2 linked regions of the Caenorhabditis elegans genome follow. The protein of the gene in region 2 purifies or fractionates together with the protein of the main gene of each other region. This does not show direct contact. Each region holds a gene or a part of one and is shown on either strand. Other genes may lie near its edges. The genes, in order: gldc-1 and B0310.2.

Region 1 (8,709 bases), on a different chromosome or scaffold from region 2:
TAGCCTGAAAATATTTATTAAATTATATCTTTATAAAAGTAGTTATGAAACAAACCTCAGTCCCTGCTTGGGATAATGCGGGAAGAAACAGTAAAGCAATAAATAAATATATCATTAAATCTGAAAAAATTACGGAAGTTGGACTGTATTTTTTTTTATTTTTGCAAGAAAATAAAAAATGCTCTGAAAAATAGAATACAAGTAAAACAAGAAGTGCGCCAGTGCAACTTACTGGCGCTTTTCGCGATGGCTGACGCATTCTTCGTTTCACTTTTATGATGTTCACAACGAAAATCGAAGAAATAAAAACTTGCACTTATTTTTGTCTTAAATTTCAATTTTTCTTCTGCTTGTTGAGTAATTTTTCAGTTCTCAGTCTAAATTACTTGCTAATTATCTTCATTTCAGTCTGCATGAATACTAATAATCGATTTTTCGCATTTTTTTTGCAATTTCTATCCGGTATTTGTCTTTTTTAATTCATTCGTTACTATTTTCAGTCATGTCAAAAGGTTTTGCTTTCAAACCGTCTGCTTTAGCTGCCAAGGCAGATAAACTGTGGTCAGATAGTAAGTTTTCAATTTTGTGTTATGTTATCTAAGTCACGTGAATTTGCAGGCAAAACAGAATACACAGCAACTCATTCAACAATCAACCACGTTCATTTGGAAAAGAAATCGCTGGGCGATATTATTCCGAAATCAGCAGATGCGCCTGTTGCAAATGAAAAAGTTCGTTGAAACACAATGAGTCAAAAAATTCGTTTTCTTCTAATTATAGGAAGTCGAAGAGGCTCCACAAGCATTTGTTTTTGGCTCCAAAATATCAGATCGTGTTGTGAACAAAGAAGGTGATTCAACAAAGCCGGGTGGTTCAGACGAAAAGACCATGACAGCAACTGAGCTCTTCCAAAATGCAGTTAAAAAAGATGACGATGTAATCTATATTTCGAATCAATATTTCTATTCATAATGTTAATTTCAGAAAAATGGAGCCAAAAACTTCAGAAAGGAAGCTGAACAAGAAGCGGAGAGAGCAAAGGAAGCCGAAAAGCAGCATGCCGGAACGAGTTCAGTCGAAATCACCACCGGGGAAGAGAACGATACTAATATTTTCCAAGTGAGGCAGTATTCATTAAAACATAATTTTTATTTATTTGTCTTTAGGCTCCTTGCAAAATTTGGGCGTTTGATAAATTGAAAAATGCCTACTCTGAAAAGGGTGTCTGCAATCTCAGGATCAACAAACGAGTCGAGAACGGACTGACGCACCACCGAATTGGTAAATACTGATAGTTAGAGTTTATTGTATTCAAAATTATTTTCAGTGGCAAGAACATCTTCCGGTACTCTTCGTGTCATCATAAATTCCAAAATTTTCTCTGATATGCTTTTGGAGCGGGTCGACAAGAGAATTCGAGTGAGCTTTAATGTTATATGAATATATGTTTTATTGTTACTGTTTACAGATTTCCGCAATGGGACCAGAGATCAGCGGTGTTCAGATTTTCCTTCTAAAAATCGGATTCACCAAAACTGAGACGATCCCCGATTCGGATATATTCTACAATATTATGAGCGACCTGCTGAAATTGGAGAAGGGAGAGAATAGTCGGAAGAGGAAAGCGGATTGTGATCTGAACGCTTCAACTGTTAAAATCAAGGATGGAAAGGAAGAAGAAGAAGGTGATCAAGATCAAGTTGATGAAGGATTTGTCATTGTAAACAAGCCAACAGAAGATGAGGTGAAAGAAGAAAAACCAGCTGTTACAGCTGCCGAAGAATCTGCATCCAGCTCAACTCCTTCCGAATAACCATATCAGTCATTGCTTCTTTCAACTTCCCCTGTGCTCTTTTTTCTCCTTCCAATCCCCACAAAAATGGTCTCCAACTTTCACCCAACTCAAATCATTTCCCCTTAAGTCTAATTTCTTTATTGCTAAAAATTTCTTCTAGATTTCTACCAATCTGGCCTAACTTTCCAATTTCGTTTTATTCTTATATATCCCGTTTTATGTGTTTGTCGAATATATTTGGTTTGTGAAAAAGAGAAGAGTTTGCAATAAAAAGCAGAAATACAATCAAGAAGACACTTAGACAATGGCGTTTCGGTTATCAGTGGCGCTCTTACTGAAGGAGGAGGAGAGCGAGATAACGATCGTTGTGGGGTGATCGATTCAGAATTCAATTGGCAACACCATGATCATTTATCACCTTGTCAATTCTGTAGCATTGTTTCAGTAGGAGAAGATTTTTTTGTAGTTAAATATCAATTTTGAGTATAACAAACGCGATTTTTGCACCTAAAATACGGTAGCCGGTCTCGTCACGACAATTTTTAATACTTAAAAAAAAATTGTATCAATTTATTTATAAACTCTAAAATAACACCGAAACACTTCAATTTTTATAAATCTAGAGGAAAAATCGATTCCGCATCAATGAGAGTTTGAAGTTACAGTACTCCTTAAAGGTGCACACACCTTCTTGCATTTAATAAAAAGTTGTCGCGTTGAGACCCGGTACCGGTTTTTTGGCGTCTTTGTAATAAACCCCTTTGAATTTAGTTTTGAAGTTTAAACTTTGAAGTTCAAAGTTTGAAATTATCCCATAATATCTAACCACGCGTCGGGCGTTTAATATCATAAAATCAAAAGTCGAATTTTTTTTATCTTATCAACAATTGGAGTACACGTGTACCCACGATATTTCTCGATTTGTACTATTTTAAATATTTTTTCTCGGAATAAATTCTCTTTGCCTGCCATTTCTACATTCTTGTTTCATTTCATTTTACTACTCGTGAATCTAGAACCTTCACTCATCTCCAAAATGGTTCTCCTTGGACGAGGATTACTTGCCGTCGGGCGTGTTGCTTTTCGACGTCCGATGATTGTACGACACCTTCAATATGATGCTTTTGTTGATAGACATATTGGACCAAGACGATTGGAGCAGCAACAAATGCTCGATTTTATTGGATACAAAGTTCGTGGCTTGATTTTCCATTACTAATGGTATACACAGTTATTACGCAGCTGCAGAAGTTTACGATTTTTTACGCTGACATACGGTCTCGTCACGATCGGAAGTTTTTCTACCGTATCCGCGAGTATTTCGCAATTTTATAATGATCCGAATATTTTCAGGTTTTTGATTGAAAACACGTTAAAATCGAGCAAAACTTTAATTACTTCAGAAAAACTTTGCTAAATACTTTTTGATACGGTAGCTAAAAAGTTTCGACCATGTCGAGACCGGGGACCATATGTCCCGCAAAAATAATTTGCGATGTTGGCATTGTATCTCCTATTTTGTTTAATGCATTTTCTGAAGTTAGAAACGCCTGAGAATTCTGTCTCATAATAACCTTGAAATTACAGGATCTAGATGATCTCACCGGAACCAATGTGCCAAATATGATCAAAGCAGAGAAGGCTCTAGAGCTTCCAGCACCACTTGACGAATACAAGATGCTCAAAGAGTTGGAAGCAATTGCAGCACAGAACAAGATTTATAGATCTTATATTGGAATGGGATATTATGATACAATTGTGCCAGCTGTCATTTCTCGTAATATCCTTCAAAATATTGGATGGATCTCCCAGTATACTCCATACCAAGCAGAAATCTCACAGGGAAGACTTGAGTCTCTTTTAAACTTCCAGACTATGGTAAGGCATGGTTTGATGCCTATGAGTCTAATATATTATGTTTGAAGATTGCTGAAATGACTGGTCTCCCAACAACCAATGCATCTCTTTTGGATGAAGCCACAGCTTCTGCAGAAGCAGTTGCACTGGCTGCTAGAACTACAAAGAGAAACAAAATTGTCGTTGACTCATTCTGTCATCCACAAAATCTTGATGTAATCAGAACTCGTAGTGGACCACTTGGAATAGATATTGAAGTTTCTGATTCAATTGAAGGATATGCGTTTGATGATAAAGTAGCTGCTGTAGTTGTTCAATATCCGAATACTGAAGGAAGAATTCATCAATTCGACGAGTTGATCGAAAGTGCTCACAAGAATAAGTCATTGGTGATAATGGTGTGCGACTTGCTCTCGTTAACGATTCTCCGATCACCAGGAGATCTTGGTGCAGATATTGCTGTTGGATCGGCTCAACGATTTGGAGTTCCATTGGGTTATGGAGGACCACACGCTGGATTTATGGCTGTCGCTAAGCATGATGCGAAGAATGCATTGGGAAGAAATATTCCAGGAAGAATCATTGGAGTTACTAAGTAAGTGGTAACCAATTTCTGGGATCAACCTATCACCAAGACTTCACATTTAAACTTTTCTTTTTTCAGGGATGCAAATGGAAATCGTGCTCTTCGCCTGGCTCTTCAAACCCGTGAGCAACACATTCGTCGTGATAAGGCAACCAGTAACATTTGTACTGCTCAAGCTCTTCTTGCTAATATGTCAGCTATGTACGCAGTCTATCATGGTCCACAAAGACTCACTGAAATTGCCAGAGGAGTTCACAAATCAACTGCATATCTTGCTTACCGTAAGTTACTATGTAAGTTACTATATTCATTAAATCTTTAATTTAGATCTTCGAAATGCTGGTCACGAAATTGTACACAAGGACTACTTTGATACTTTGAAAATCCGTCTGAAGGATAAAGCCGCTCTTGAAGAAACGAAAAAGAGAGCCGAGGAAATGAAGATGAACTTCCGTTATTATGAAGATGGAGATATCGGAGTTTCATTGGATGAGACTGTTAAATCTGAAGATCTTATGGATATCATCTACACATTGAATGGAGCCACAGAAAAGGATGTGGTTAGTTTTTGACTCGAGATGTAGAAGAAAGACTATCACATTTATATGTTTAGACCAAGCTTCGTGAAGAACGTTGGGAAGTTGCATGCCCATTAATTGGAAACTCACCACATTCTAGATCATCACTATTCCTTCAACATCCGGTATTTAATACTCATCAGAGTGAACAACAGCTTGTTCGATATATGAAACGATTGGAAAATAAGGATGTTTCTCTTGTTCATTCGATGATTCCTCTTGGCAGCTGTACCATGAAGCTTAACGCATCTGCTGAACTTATTGTTTGTTACTTTACATGTTGGCCTTGAAATTTATAACTATCATTAAGCCTATCACCTGGCCAACTCTATCATCTATTCATCCATTTGCTCCTGTAGAGCAGGCCAAGGGATATAGTCGTATCTTTGGAGATCTTGAGAAGTGGCTTTGTGAAATCACTGGATACGATAACTTCAGCTTGCAACCAAACTCTGGAGCCAATGGAGAATATGCTGGACTTCTTGCCATTCGGAATTATTTGATTCACAAGGGAGAGGAGCAGAGAAATGTAAGAAGAAATAAAAAGTTTGTTAAAAACTTTCAGTATTATTTTAGATTTGTCTCATTCCAACGTCTGCACATGGAACTAATCCAGCATCTGCTCAAATGGCTAATATGAAGGTTGTTGTCGTGGACTCAGATCATCACGGAAACATCAACTACAAGGATCTGGCAGCTAAAGCTGAGAAGTACTCAAATCAATTGGCAGCTATTATGGTCACTTATCCATCGACTCATGGAGTATTTGAGTCATCGATTCGTGATGTTTGTGACAAAGTTCATGAGCATGGTGGACAAGTTTATCTTGATGGAGCCAATATGAATGCTCAAGTTGGATTGTGTCGTCCAGGAGACTACGGGAGTGATGTGTCGCATTTGAACCTTCACAAGACATTCTGTATTCCACACGGAGGAGGTGGTCCAGGTGTTGGACCAATTGGAGTGTAAGTTTGAAAAAATGTGAAAATTTGCAATGTTTTATTATAGTAAAAAACATCTTGCTCCATTCCTTCCTGGTCATTCAGTTGTGCCAGTTGATGGACGTAAAGTTGGATCAGTTGCTTCTGCTCCGTATGGTTCAGCAAGTATTCTTGCAATTACATGGGCTTACATTCGTATGATGGGGCCAGTTGGTCTTCGTGAAGCATCTCAAGTAGCAATTCTCAATGCTAATTATATGGCTAAACGACTCGAAAATGACTACCGTATCGTTTACAAAGGTAAGTTGGCTCGTAGTTTGGTAGATGCATCCTCCCTGGTTTTCAGATGAACAGGGTCTTGTAGCTCACGAGTTTATTATGGATTGTAAGCCATTCAAGAAGCACGGAATTGAGGTTGTTGATATTGCGAAAAGATTGATGGATTATGGTTTCCATTCACCAACGATGTCGTGGCCTGTGCACGATTGTCTCATGATTGAGCCCACCGAATCAGGTAAGGTTTACTTTGTTCTGAAAAAATATATAAAATAACACAATTCAATTTTCAGAAGACAAAGCTGAAATGGATCGTCTCGTAGAAGCTCTTCTCTCAATTCGTGAGGAAATTCGTCAAGTTGAAAACGGAAGTCTCGATAAACATCTGAATCCATTGAAAATGGCTCCACATACTCTGGAAAAGGTGACCTCGGACAACTGGAATATGCCATACTCCCGTGAATTGGCTGCATTCCCGAAGCCTTGGTGTACCCATAAAGCATGGCCAACTGTCGGAAGAGTCGATGATCAATATGGAGACAGAAATCTTGTGTGCACATGCCCCCCAATTGAATCATATCAGTAATAGTCGTTTTAGATTAAGTTTTTAATTGTCGGGTCCAATTTCTCTGGTTTTCATTATATTCGAAAATAAAGGAATTTACTAAATACATTTGCACAATGACATATAAACATTAGAAAGATTAGTGCAAAAAGACTACTCAGGCAACTCAAATCTAATCTGAAAATATTAAATAGCAATCTTTTTGTAGTAAAAACGAGAAATAGTGCGTCCATATAAGATTACTAAAAATTTCGAATAGATTTCAATTTTGTCTCAAAAGATTACAATTTGATCTCAAAATATTGCGAAAGTGTGAAAATTTCTAGGTAGACTTCGGTTTTATCTCAAAAGATTACTAATTTGTCTCAAAAGACTGCGAGCTCGTCTCCGAAGATTGAGATTTCATCTCCGAAGATTGAGATTTCGTCTCAGAATATTGCGATTTTGTCTCAAAATATTGCGAGTTTGTCTCTAAATATTAAAAATGCATTCATCGACTATTCTAGAACTATTTTGTGATAACTCGAAGAACTTTTGTTGCCATTGAGGGGAGTTGAACTTGTCCGTCGCTTGTCGTTGAGTCTATGAACCATTATCTTACCTGATGAGCCATCCTGTACGTGTCGCATCTAGATTTAGTTATTGCTTAAGTAAATAGTTAATGGGCGCACGTCCTTTTCGTTACTTTTGATGGGAAATCAGTGACTTTTCGCAAATTTTCAAAGTGTCAGAGCGAAATTGGATAACTTTCTTTGAAAGTGAATGTGGAACAACGATTTATTTGTTATGCTTTTAAAAATGTTAGAATTGCAATTTTTCCGATTTTTTGTCAAAGAGAGAATAACATTTTATTTTTTCAATATTTTTTTTCACTAACAATTTGATTAAAATGATGAGTATACTGGGAACATGCTTGCTGTTGACAATATTTTATGATTTCAATTGAAATCAGAAAATCTCAAACGATAATGTAGATGAAGTCGTTTCCCCTCGAGCAACCTTCACATGAGTTTCACGAATAGTTTGTCCGTACGCTCGAAGAAATGATTGAATTTTCTCGTGCAAGTTCATAAAAGTTATTTTACACTTCTTCGGTGCTTTTTTGCATTTACATCTGCAAAAAGAAAATAAATATCGCCACAATTAAATTTTAAGTCCCACTTTTCCAAGTCCTCAGCACAAACTGCACACGCTTCAATTGTCTTCAGATGGCTTTCACCAAGCAACAATTTTTTCATGCTTTCTTCATTTTCAATACATTCAATGTCGAAATAGAGACAAACAGCTGAAAAACGCGGATTATTTACTCAGTTTGCAATAAATTGAAATGGATTACCAGCTTTTGAGTGAGTTGTAGTAAGTAAGAAATGCATTCTCCGAAGATCGACATCGGAGAGAAATCGCCACAGTGAATCTGAAAATAATGTTTACTCAAGTTCTTACAATAAATTCAATACCTCTAACATTCATTTCTACATTTTCGGATTCGAAAATCTCGTCTTCCTCTTCTGTTTCTTCTGTTTCTTTTGAATCATCATAAGATTCCTCTTCATCTTCGTATTCTGTAGAATCCGACTCCGATTGGAGGTTTTCTGCAATTATCGTTCGTTAGAAATGCCACCTACAAAATGTGTTTTCTTCACCTTGCTCATGTTCCATCTCTATTCTAACAACAGAAATTTCGCCCATTCCCGGTCCATTTTTTGAGTTCTTGTTGATTTTCTGAGCAAGTTCGGTCAGAATATCTCTTGTGAACGGTCGGATTCTTTGACGTTTCATCTAAAAAAAAATCATTTATAAAATTTTAAAAATATTCAAAATATTCAGATAAAAAAATACATTTTAACTTTGAACACAACAGAATTGTAGAAAAAACAATTCAATAATTCGTTGAAAAAGAAACGCGCAAGCCTTTGCGCGTTTCTCGTTCTGCGCGTTTTCAGTGTGTAATCTGTATGGACTACAAAAATATTGCTATTTCATCTCAAAATATTGCGAATTTTTCGTAATATTTTGAGATTCAGGAAGATTGCGAATCAACCTCAAAATATTGCGAAATATTCTCAAAAGATTGCTCAATCTAAAAATATTTCGAATGAGTCTCGGGATAT
Region 2 (9,584 bases):
TATGTTTTTTTTTCAACAGATAGTTTCAGCCTGTTAGGAATATTTAAAAAGAAGCTTCTAGCTACAACCTCAAGTTTGGTCACTCTTACGCATCGTGGCGTTCGGATGTTGATGTTTTTTGAGTTGGTTAAAATTGCATATTTTGGCTATTTATATCATGTTATTTTGACTACTCAGGTATTTTTTAAGCCGATAGATTTCGAAATTTGGTAACCTATCGGCTTCAAAAGTTTGATTCATAAAATTCATTGATTTGAGCACATTTTAAATCTATATATTTCAAAAACAAAAATTCATAGTGAAATTTTAAGTTGCTTTATTTTTTCAAAAAAATTTGAGTAGCTGAAGCCCTTGCCCATCTTATATTTTCTTATCAATTTCACACATTTTCGTTCTGAGATTTTTGATTTCTCAATTGTAACCCGTTGAAAATTACTTACTAACTGCGGTGCTATTTTCTTTTCATATTCTCTATCGTCTTCACGACACAACATATCAACTTGTAACAGTAACAAAAAGAGACTTATCAACAATCGGTTGTTTCTTTCATTCTCTCCTTCTTGCCAACCGTTTTTCTAGTGTCCGAAAGAAATGAGAGATAATGATGAGTGAATGAGTGTGTACGGGTGAACTGGTTATTTTTGCAGGCCAAAGAATGAACGAGTAACACATACTGTGTCCGTTTTTTGGACATTTGCCAAAGCAGACAAAAATTAATAAAGTAATGCTATACAAACATTAAAACGTGCCTGCCTGCAAGGCTTCAAAAGAACTCAATGAAACCTACTGAGTGTAAATAATATTCAATGTAAGTCTACCTATCTGGTAGTTTCCAGCAGCCGTATTTGAGGTTATCCCTGGGCTCATGGCTTGGAACTCATATCGTCTATGTAAGATTTTTAATCGATGTCAAAATATTCAATAGCGTATGATCATTGTGAACTTAAGAAAACAGGAACTAAAAACTTTTAAAAACTTTTGAACTCTTTCCCACAAAAACTTGAAATTATTTTTACATAACAAGTATTTCTAAAAGTTTTCAAGAGTTTCTATGTATATTAAATTTTATTATAAATTGTATTTTTATCATTATTTTATGTTAGCAAACATTTACTTTCAAAACAATTTCAAAATGATTCCCACTTAAAGCTGAAAAAATACATTATCAGTATACCCAATTCAACTTTGACAGATCATTTTTCAAATATTTTTTCAATTACTGATGGGACATAAGGTAAACTATTACACTATGAACCTATTATTAAAATAGTTACCGTATTTCCTCTATTAATATTGCACCCAATTGTTCAACTTTGACAGCTTATATTTCAGTTATCGTTTGTCCTATTCAAGTATTGTCAACTGACAAAATATTTGTTAGTTATTTTTCTACTAATTTGTTGTTTATGATATATTGATATCTTTAAAATGAGCCGAGATATACCGTTTCAAAGTTAAGTAGTCGGGTGCAATACGAATAGAGGAAATAAGGTATTTGATTTTAACTTTTGAACACCGTTTAATAGCTACAAAAATCTAATTTTTAGGTTTTAATGATTTCAAGGTTGCCTTCGAGTAGGGTGGATTTTTGTAGATCCATGATAACTTAAGTGTGGTTTGAAATTAATAAAAGAAAGCTCTTCAGGTACTTTTCAACTGAACAATTTAGAATGAAAGTTTTTTCAATAGAGCTCAATGGTAAAGTAGCGTCTTTGGGAACATTGTTTTAGGCCACGCCATTTTTTTTGAAATCGATACCTTCTGATTTTATTTTCTACTTATGTTTAAAATATTAATATTAAAAGTTTGTAAAGTTTTGAACATGCGACAGTGCATTAGTTTTCTTAAAAACTGCCGAAAACTCAATAATTGTGACTTTCTATTATAAATGGAAAATTTTTTTATTGGTTTTCAATAACTTTTTGAACTTCTTAAGATGGATAGGAACTTTTTCTTAGTTCAAAAATGTTCCTCTGCCGTTAACTACAAATTTTTTTCTTTGACACTTGGAAGCTCAAATAAAGGAAAAGGAATAGTTTTCCCCGTTTTTCTATCTTGAAAAAATACGTTAAATTCAATTTTATTGCTGACATCAAATCTTAACCATAAAAAAAACATCAGGAATAAAAAATAAAAATTCCAGATTTTAGAAGAATTAAAGCATTGAGTGGTAAAGGAAAGTGCAGTGCATGGGAAAATAATTGGTTGCACATTAGTCATACTGATACCCAGTTTGGAAAAGAAAATATGAAAGGAAATAATATACATAACACAGCTTGAATCTTTGAATTTTAAATCACAGACTTGATAGATATGGTTAATAAAGGAAAGAGGGGGAAAGTAAGATGACAAAAGTGAGCAGCTGAAACATAAGTAGCACAAAACATAGTGTAAAAGTTGTCAGTTAGGAAAGACTACGCACTGCTGTAGCACCAGTTTCCAGAGACATTTTCAGAGCATGGAAATGACTGAAGCCTTGTGTGAGGGCAATATTATGAAGGACCGGAAGCTGTGGAATCCCGTGGAAGGGGTTTTTGGGTAGAATTGGCCCCAAATGAGCACTCGTCGGTGAATGGGTCTTCTTATGACGTAGCAGGTTGTCTTTCCTGTTGAATCTGAAAATATACATGTAATTCGTTTCCATTTTTAGGGTTTCCATTTTTTCATTTTATATTTGAAAAGCCTTATTTTTTACCTAATTTTTGTTACCTAACCTAATTTTTAACCTAATTTTGTAAACTCGTTTTCTAACATTTAAAACAAGTAAAACCAAGCTGTCAAAGGAAGGTAATAGTTTTCAAAGTAAGATGCCATCATTCCTAGAAATTCCTTGAACTCTTATCATTCTTCAACCAATCATTCTTCCTATCACCATAACTACTTTACAAATTGCTTCTCATTATCACTTGGGTCAAATTCGACGTGCCAAGGACGCCAGTCTCATTCCTCACATGACAATATTATGTTGCGCTTTGTTTGAAAAGACAAAAAGGGAAGCATAGACTGGGCAAGTTACTCACTTTTTGTGGCAGTGTGGACATGTGTGTGGACGGAGGCCGGTATGAATGAACATGTGCTTTTTAAGGAGGAACTTGTTGGCGAACCGTTTGCCGCAATTGTTGTGCATGCATATGAACGGTTTCTCCAGGGCTGAAAAGTTGAAGGTTAATAGAGATTTTAAAAAAAGTATAAGAAAGCAACTCACCACAGTCTCCATCTCCACAGTTCGGTGATATCATTGGTCCGGTTGAAGACGATGACGACTCATTTTCAGTGATATCACCAGTTGATGGTGATGGTGACACTTCAATCTCTCCCTCGTCACTTTCCACGTCAATTTTTATATCTTCTGCATCAGATTCTGTGAAGTGATTTGAAACTGGCAGTTGTGGCACGGTTTTCATAAAGTTGGCGGCGTGCATGGTTCTGAAAACAAAAATTTGTTTATGGATAGAAACTGTTGATGAACATTAGAATTTCGAGCATTTCTCTTCTCGCAATCAAAAGTTACAGAGATTTAGTAGAGAAATATTGTTATATACAGATCCTCATAACGACTAAGTGTGCATCCAAATCACTAGTAAATGGAAAACCCTAATTACGTTTTTTTTAAAGCACAATCATAAATTATTATGACTAAAATTAAGGATTAAAAGACGACCCCGTCTTCAAGCACTATGCACTGCGGATCTGGGAGTCAGGTACACTGCCTGGCGGTTCGTCCGCTGGGCTACTTACTTAAGCCACGTCCTAGCTGAGGACTGTGGCCCATAATCCAGGCGTGGATTGCTCCATTTTCAAATAGAGACTGGTGGTGAGGCCGGTCTTGAACTCGTGACATCCAGATTGTGAGTGGTTACCTTTACCGACTAAGCTATCCTGCCCCCATATGTATTTCAAACTAACATGACGATGTGAAGATGACTTATTAGAAGGTGTGACTTGATTTTGGCTAGCCCTAGGTCCATGTATACTGGGATGTAGCTCAGATTGAAGGGGATCTTCATTAGTTCTTCTTAATGGTTGAGAAATAAGTTACATTATATATATATATATATATATATATATATATATATATATATATATATATATATGATCATCTTCAACCGAATCTATCTATCAGTCACTCTCATTCCTCGGATTGCCCTCATTAACAGAATCCACTTTCCCCATAAATATTTGAATTTAAATTGTTTCTCCCACTTCGTTATACATATATCTCTCGCTCGTCTTCATCCTTATCAGTGTTCCTCTCAGTCTCATTTCCTCCATACTCAATTGGTAATCAATCTTGACGACGAATGAATTACCTCCTTCTTTTTCTCTCCATTGCATCTAGTGTTTCTCAATTGCGGCAAGTTGTTGTGTCCATACCCTCTACAGTAACCGCCCTCAATCTCGACGTGTCTCTCTCTCTCTCTTTCTCTGTTCCGCAACACATCAATCCTCTTCACTGATTCCCTAATTTTTGATTTTTAACAAATAAGTGGAAAGGAAGAAGCAAAGAGGTTTTCCAGATGGTAATCTACACTTGTCTACACGATATAACCTACTCCAAAGGGCGCCGACTAGTGAAGTTCTCACATCGAATTAGTCGAAATTGGTGTTGAGCTATTTATGCGATTGCCTACCCCGCTATTCTTACAAGGCCATTCTAACGGGGTTTCCGGAAAATTATTGTTCAGTTTTTTAAAATTCGAATGCCTCAAAAGTTATAGTGCTGATTGAGACATGACACTCAAATTGAGAAGTGGAGATTTCCCTCACTTACTCCGATTTTGATCAAGATAAGGGTGACATTCATCACGATCAATCAAGGTGTTGGTCGCGTTGAAGTGTTGATTAATTTCTAGGTGGTTTTCGAGGAGATTTATTCAATTTTGAAATGAATAAGGTCATCCAGTTTTCTTATCTGAAGTGACAAGAACAACAAAAAGTGAACCATTGTAAATTGCTTTTTTTGTTCGGGCTAACTATCTTCCTCTTTCTGATGTCCCGGATGCCAAATCAATTGCTTTTCTGGCTGCAACAAAATTATGGTTGCCATCCATTTAAGATGATCAGACCAGTTACCAGTTGATTTATTATCACCTACATTTGTTTACGCTCATCATCACCGTCGTCACTCCTTCTCTCGAGAATGCGGTCCGGGGGCAAGTTACCTCCTTTACTCTGTCTCTCTTTCTCCGGGGACGGGCGGTTACTGTAGTTTTCCTATTATACTCCTCCCCCTCCGCTATCTTCTCAAACTTTCACAACGAGCAGCAACATCCATACCCGTTTCAATTGTCTCTCATTTGTTTTGTGTGAAATAAACAAAAGGTAGGAATGCGTCAGCCGGGAGGCGCCTACTGATACAGTTGAACAAGGGTTGACAGACAAAAAAATTTGACAAAGAAGTAAAACTTACATTTTCATTAAAGCAGCAAATTGCTCTTCTGACGGTTTTGGAGCAGGTTGATGTTGAAACATTGCGTTCAAGTATGCAGGGTTTGTCAATGGGTGCCCTAGCCATCGCTGCATTAATGCTGCGTTTGAAAATGGAATGGGAACTGGGATCTGCGGTAGGACAAATGGAAGTGAAGGTGGTGGAGGGGACACTGAATTCTCTTTGGACAACATTTGAACGGTATCCTCCAAACTTCGCTTGGCTCGCTTACGAGATGGCATCTGAAAAAAATGGAATAAAATAAAAATAATATGATAGCAAAAAATGAAAAGAAAAATGTGAAATAGAAAGTATAGAATCATTTCAAATTATGCTGTGTTTGCCCAGTTAAAAAAGTGGTAGAGAGTTATGGAAAGGCGGAGAAGAATGTGATCGAAGAAATGCGATTTGAAAAATAGGGGGAAATGTGTGGGAATCTCAAATACACTGAAATACACTAAACGGAAACTGCCTCACCCCTTTCACGGAATCATCTGAGGAAAAAATTGGCGGTGACACAACGGGATTTTCCATCGCCTCTACTTTGATTTCAATAGGCTCCAAGTCTAACGACTTTGAAGAGCAAAGTGAGTTGAACAAAATCATTGCTGGCAAAATATCTGGTGCTTCAGAGGAGAGTGGGGAGATTGGTGCGAAGTTTCGGGTCTGAAACGTTTTTGACAGGATAATTGAGGTGAGGAAATACAAGAATGCAAAGGAAAGTGTGATGGTTATCAAGATGGCGGAAAGGTAATTATGGTAATTAGTTGTAGAATATTTCAAAACAAAAATTGAACTAACCTCTTCCAGCAGTTCGTCCACTCTGCTTAGTAGGCAATCAACAGTTTGGGTGACATCTTCGGAGATCTTGGATCTGAAAGAAAAAAAAACTGTTCTGGACGTTTGGTATCTAGCCAGTATAATTTTTACTGCCTATCCCATTTGTGCACGATTTGTGAGCCTCTACAAGCTGAACGTGAATTGTATTGTGGCTTTGGTCAGATTTTTAAACTTCAAAAAACTTGAATTTTGTATTTCATTTAATAGTCTTGCAGCCTCTAGTAAACTTTCACCCTCATTAGTCTAACAGCCCTACCAGCCTCTAATTGTTTTGGAGCAAGCCGTTGCGAGACTGGGCGTGTTTTAGGGGACTCCTAGAAAACACTTTAAAATTTCAAAAGATTTAACGGAATTGATGAAAAGTATGTAATACTCAGAATTGAACTATTTGTGTCCAAAATTTACTATTTTTTCAAAGCAGTGTCGAAAATTAGTCTTGCAGCCTCTTGCGATTTCTATTAGTTGTGAACCAATACGGATCAATTTAGAAATAGTATTGCTTGCAGGGCTGATAGAGGAAATACGGTACCTGTATAATTTTTACGTTTGGATAAAAATAACGTTTTAAACCTTATTTAGGACATGAAAGCACCTCCAAAGTTTCTCTTCAAAAGCTGAAATCTAACCTTTGAATCTCCTCGAGTAGTGAATCCCGAGCGTGCACGATTGCTGACTCTAACAATGTCATCTCCTGCTCTGAACACGTGTGGCTCCTCAAAGCATCAGAAACTGGATCCACCAACTGCTTTGAAAAAAATTCCGAGAGGGGTTGTGACTTTTCCATCGTTGTTGACCTCAAAAAAAAGAACAATCGTTGAGAAAAAAGGTGACAGACTATAAAATTTCAATAACGAGGAAAATCAAAATAAGAATATGGAGTAGAAAAAGACGATGAAAAAGGGAAGCAGAAACGGGGGAGGAGGGGAGAGGGCAAAAGTAGGCGTGTAAATGATAACTGTGAGGAGGAGAAGGAAATAGGAGGAGGACGAAAAAGAAGACGACGACCGTTTCCTTTTCTCTCGCCCCCCCCCCCCCTGTCATTTGTCCACACACACACACACTCTTGAGGAGTTACAACAAGAGTGATTTTGTACAATCTGTTCTGATAAGGATCTGCGAAATCGCGGTTGAGATATTCCTCCTCGTCAATTTATGATTGAGATACAAAAAGGTGTTACGGTTCTCGCGTCAGTTCAGGGTTAGGGCCAAATTCAGTTACAGCTTCTATAGTTGAATTTAAGTTTTGATTTGAAAAACGTTTTTTTTAGCATAATTGGCTGTTTTGCCTGTTTTTAATTTATCATTTCGAGTGTCGTACTAATTGATGCACAGCTCAAATAGATACTGTGTGCAAATTTTTCAAACAATTTTTTTAAGTTGGAATTTGGGATTTTTTTAAAGAAGAAACAAAAAATCAGAAAGCAGAATGAAATTATTGCTCTGATTGTCAGAATAGTTTTTTTAATTAACACAATAACAAACTGAAGTGCAATGCTAAGCTTGAAATTTGCAACAAAATTTTCCAAATTCTACTAATATTTCATCATTCTGAAATATTCGAACACATTTAGACTCAATATGTTCAAAAAATTAGAGGATAATTACCAATAAAATTCATAATAGTAGAAACATGAATAGTAACATCACAACTCGAAAAAAAAACGTCACACCAAAGCAAGTACGGTTGCATATTGCAAAGAGCCAACCAGGAAGACAACGGGCCATAAAAAGTGGTGATCCTGGCAATCGCGCACTTCCCATGTACGGACGCTGTTACAGAGCATATCGGGAAATGGGCGGTGTCCTCTCTCTCTCTCTCCTGCCCTCACAAAACGATTAGAGATATACTACAGAAGATGGTAATGAGAAAAGGGGTTAATAGTGATATTCAGAAGAGGAATAGTTTCTAATTCAATGAGGAGACAAATGATGATGTGATTAAAATGGAACTTATTGGGTTCGAACTTTTTTTCCGTTTGGCGGAATGAATGGGTAGGGCTACTTAGAATTTTGAAGAAAAGGGCTTTTATTAAGTTAAAGTCTTCAAATTTTTTTCCAATATTGACGCTCAATATCAAAAAAAGATGTTGAAAATTTATCATAACAATTTCAATTACTTGAATGAGTCACCAATTATCTCGATGTTACGTTATCGATAGAGTCACACAAAATGTTGAAAACCGATGAAAAAAATATATCTAATCGCAACCAGTGAGCACCAATCAACTCATCATCAAGAGAACAAAGGAACCTTGCTATTTTTGACAATACGGTGATAAGATAGTTTTGGTATGGTAGGTGGACTTTTTTCTGTGTGGATCTAGATGTAAAACGATTGTTTCAAAAATCAGTGATCTCGGCATGGGGTTAGGAAATAGCATGAATTTCAAAATTTTTATAACTGGTCACTAATGTTATGAATTTACATTTTTTAGGGTAACTTTGCAGTACCAATTTTGGAAAATGCTAGTTTTAGTGGTATTAAGGAAGCAATGAAAATTATATAAAATTAATAAAAATATATTGATTGAACTTAAAGGATTACTAATGGATTTGAGTATTTTGAAAATATAGACGCTGAGTATGCTTGAATTAACTACATATGTGACTTCTTAAAAATATTTTCAACAATTTTTATTGGGTTTTGCAGATATTTTTTTAGTAGCTAATTTTAGCTAAAATATCATATATCAAATTTTGCTTTTTGAGTGATTTTTGGCTACCTATCGGCTTTGAATGTATCTCAATCAACAACATAGGATTTTAAAAAACCACAATGTGCAATAAACGGTGATAGTTCTAAAAATGGTAGTTCCTAAAAGCTGTGTCACGGAAAAAATATTTGAGATGAAATAAAGCTAATTTTATCACAATTTTGAACCGCAATAAGCATTTGAATTATTTTTCTGAAGTCTCTTCTTGCCATAATAAAAGTCTTATCTATCTGATATTTATCTAATCACATTTTAGGTTTATACATTCAAAATATTCCGAACCCTTGGGCATATTTTAAGCAAATTATTTTCATAAGTTCACTTATTTACAGAGAGAAATACAACTATTTTTTTGTTTGTCAATTATATTCAAACCAGGCGTGAACCGCACCTAGAGCGCGGTCCCCGACTTTCTTGAGAAGCACATGTGTCTATCGCGGACCTCGATATTTTTATATATATATATATATTTTTTTTTTAAATTCAAGTTTAAAAGTAATCAAATTTAACTTCAATGTTGACAATTTAAAATTATTTTTTAAAGCATTTTCTCTGGGAAAAAAATTTTTAAATTGTTAGATGGCAGCCAACTTGTTACCATG

Evidence for each region.
Region 1: the proteins of B0310.2 (region 2) and gldc-1 fractionate together in Caenorhabditis elegans (co-fractionation; one large-scale study listed by BioGRID). This does not show direct contact.

The regions. Positions count from the first base shown.
Region 1 is NC_003280.10:6,047,609-6,056,317, forward strand, and holds gldc-1 (Glycine cleavage system P protein), read left to right. Parts: upstream 1-2,811; 5' UTR 2,812-2,831; coding exon 2,832-2,987; intron 2,988-3,382; coding exon 3,383-3,673; intron 3,674-3,720; coding exon 3,721-4,247; intron 4,248-4,316; coding exon 4,317-4,519; intron 4,520-4,565; coding exon 4,566-4,798; intron 4,799-4,851; coding exon 4,852-5,079; intron 5,080-5,126; coding exon 5,127-5,345; intron 5,346-5,392; coding exon 5,393-5,781; intron 5,782-5,824; coding exon 5,825-6,057; intron 6,058-6,103; coding exon 6,104-6,271; intron 6,272-6,326; coding exon 6,327-6,619; 3' UTR 6,620-6,699; downstream 6,700-8,709. Other genes in the region: R12C12.6 (Transmembrane protein 9), read right to left, coding at 1-4, 56-259; ran-5 (RanBD1 domain-containing protein), read left to right, coding at 503-569, 619-731, 781-936, 985-1,119, 1,167-1,281, 1,328-1,419, 1,469-1,813; R12C12.7 (Zf-AD domain-containing protein), read right to left, coding at 7,547-7,712, 7,760-7,883, 7,935-8,012, 8,056-8,190, 8,242-8,377.
Region 2 is NC_003284.9:499,882-509,465, forward strand, and holds B0310.2 (Putative zinc finger protein B0310.2), read right to left. Parts: upstream 7,063-9,584; 5' UTR 7,053-7,062; coding exon 6,895-7,052; intron 6,303-6,894; coding exon 6,230-6,302; intron 6,095-6,229; coding exon 5,906-6,094; intron 5,671-5,905; coding exon 5,411-5,670; intron 5,238-5,410; exon of another isoform or gene 5,127-5,237; intron 4,106-5,126; exon of another isoform or gene 4,038-4,105; intron 3,427-4,037; coding exon 3,206-3,426; intron 3,151-3,205; coding exon 3,021-3,150; intron 2,616-3,020; coding exon 2,405-2,615; 3' UTR 2,066-2,404; downstream 1-2,065.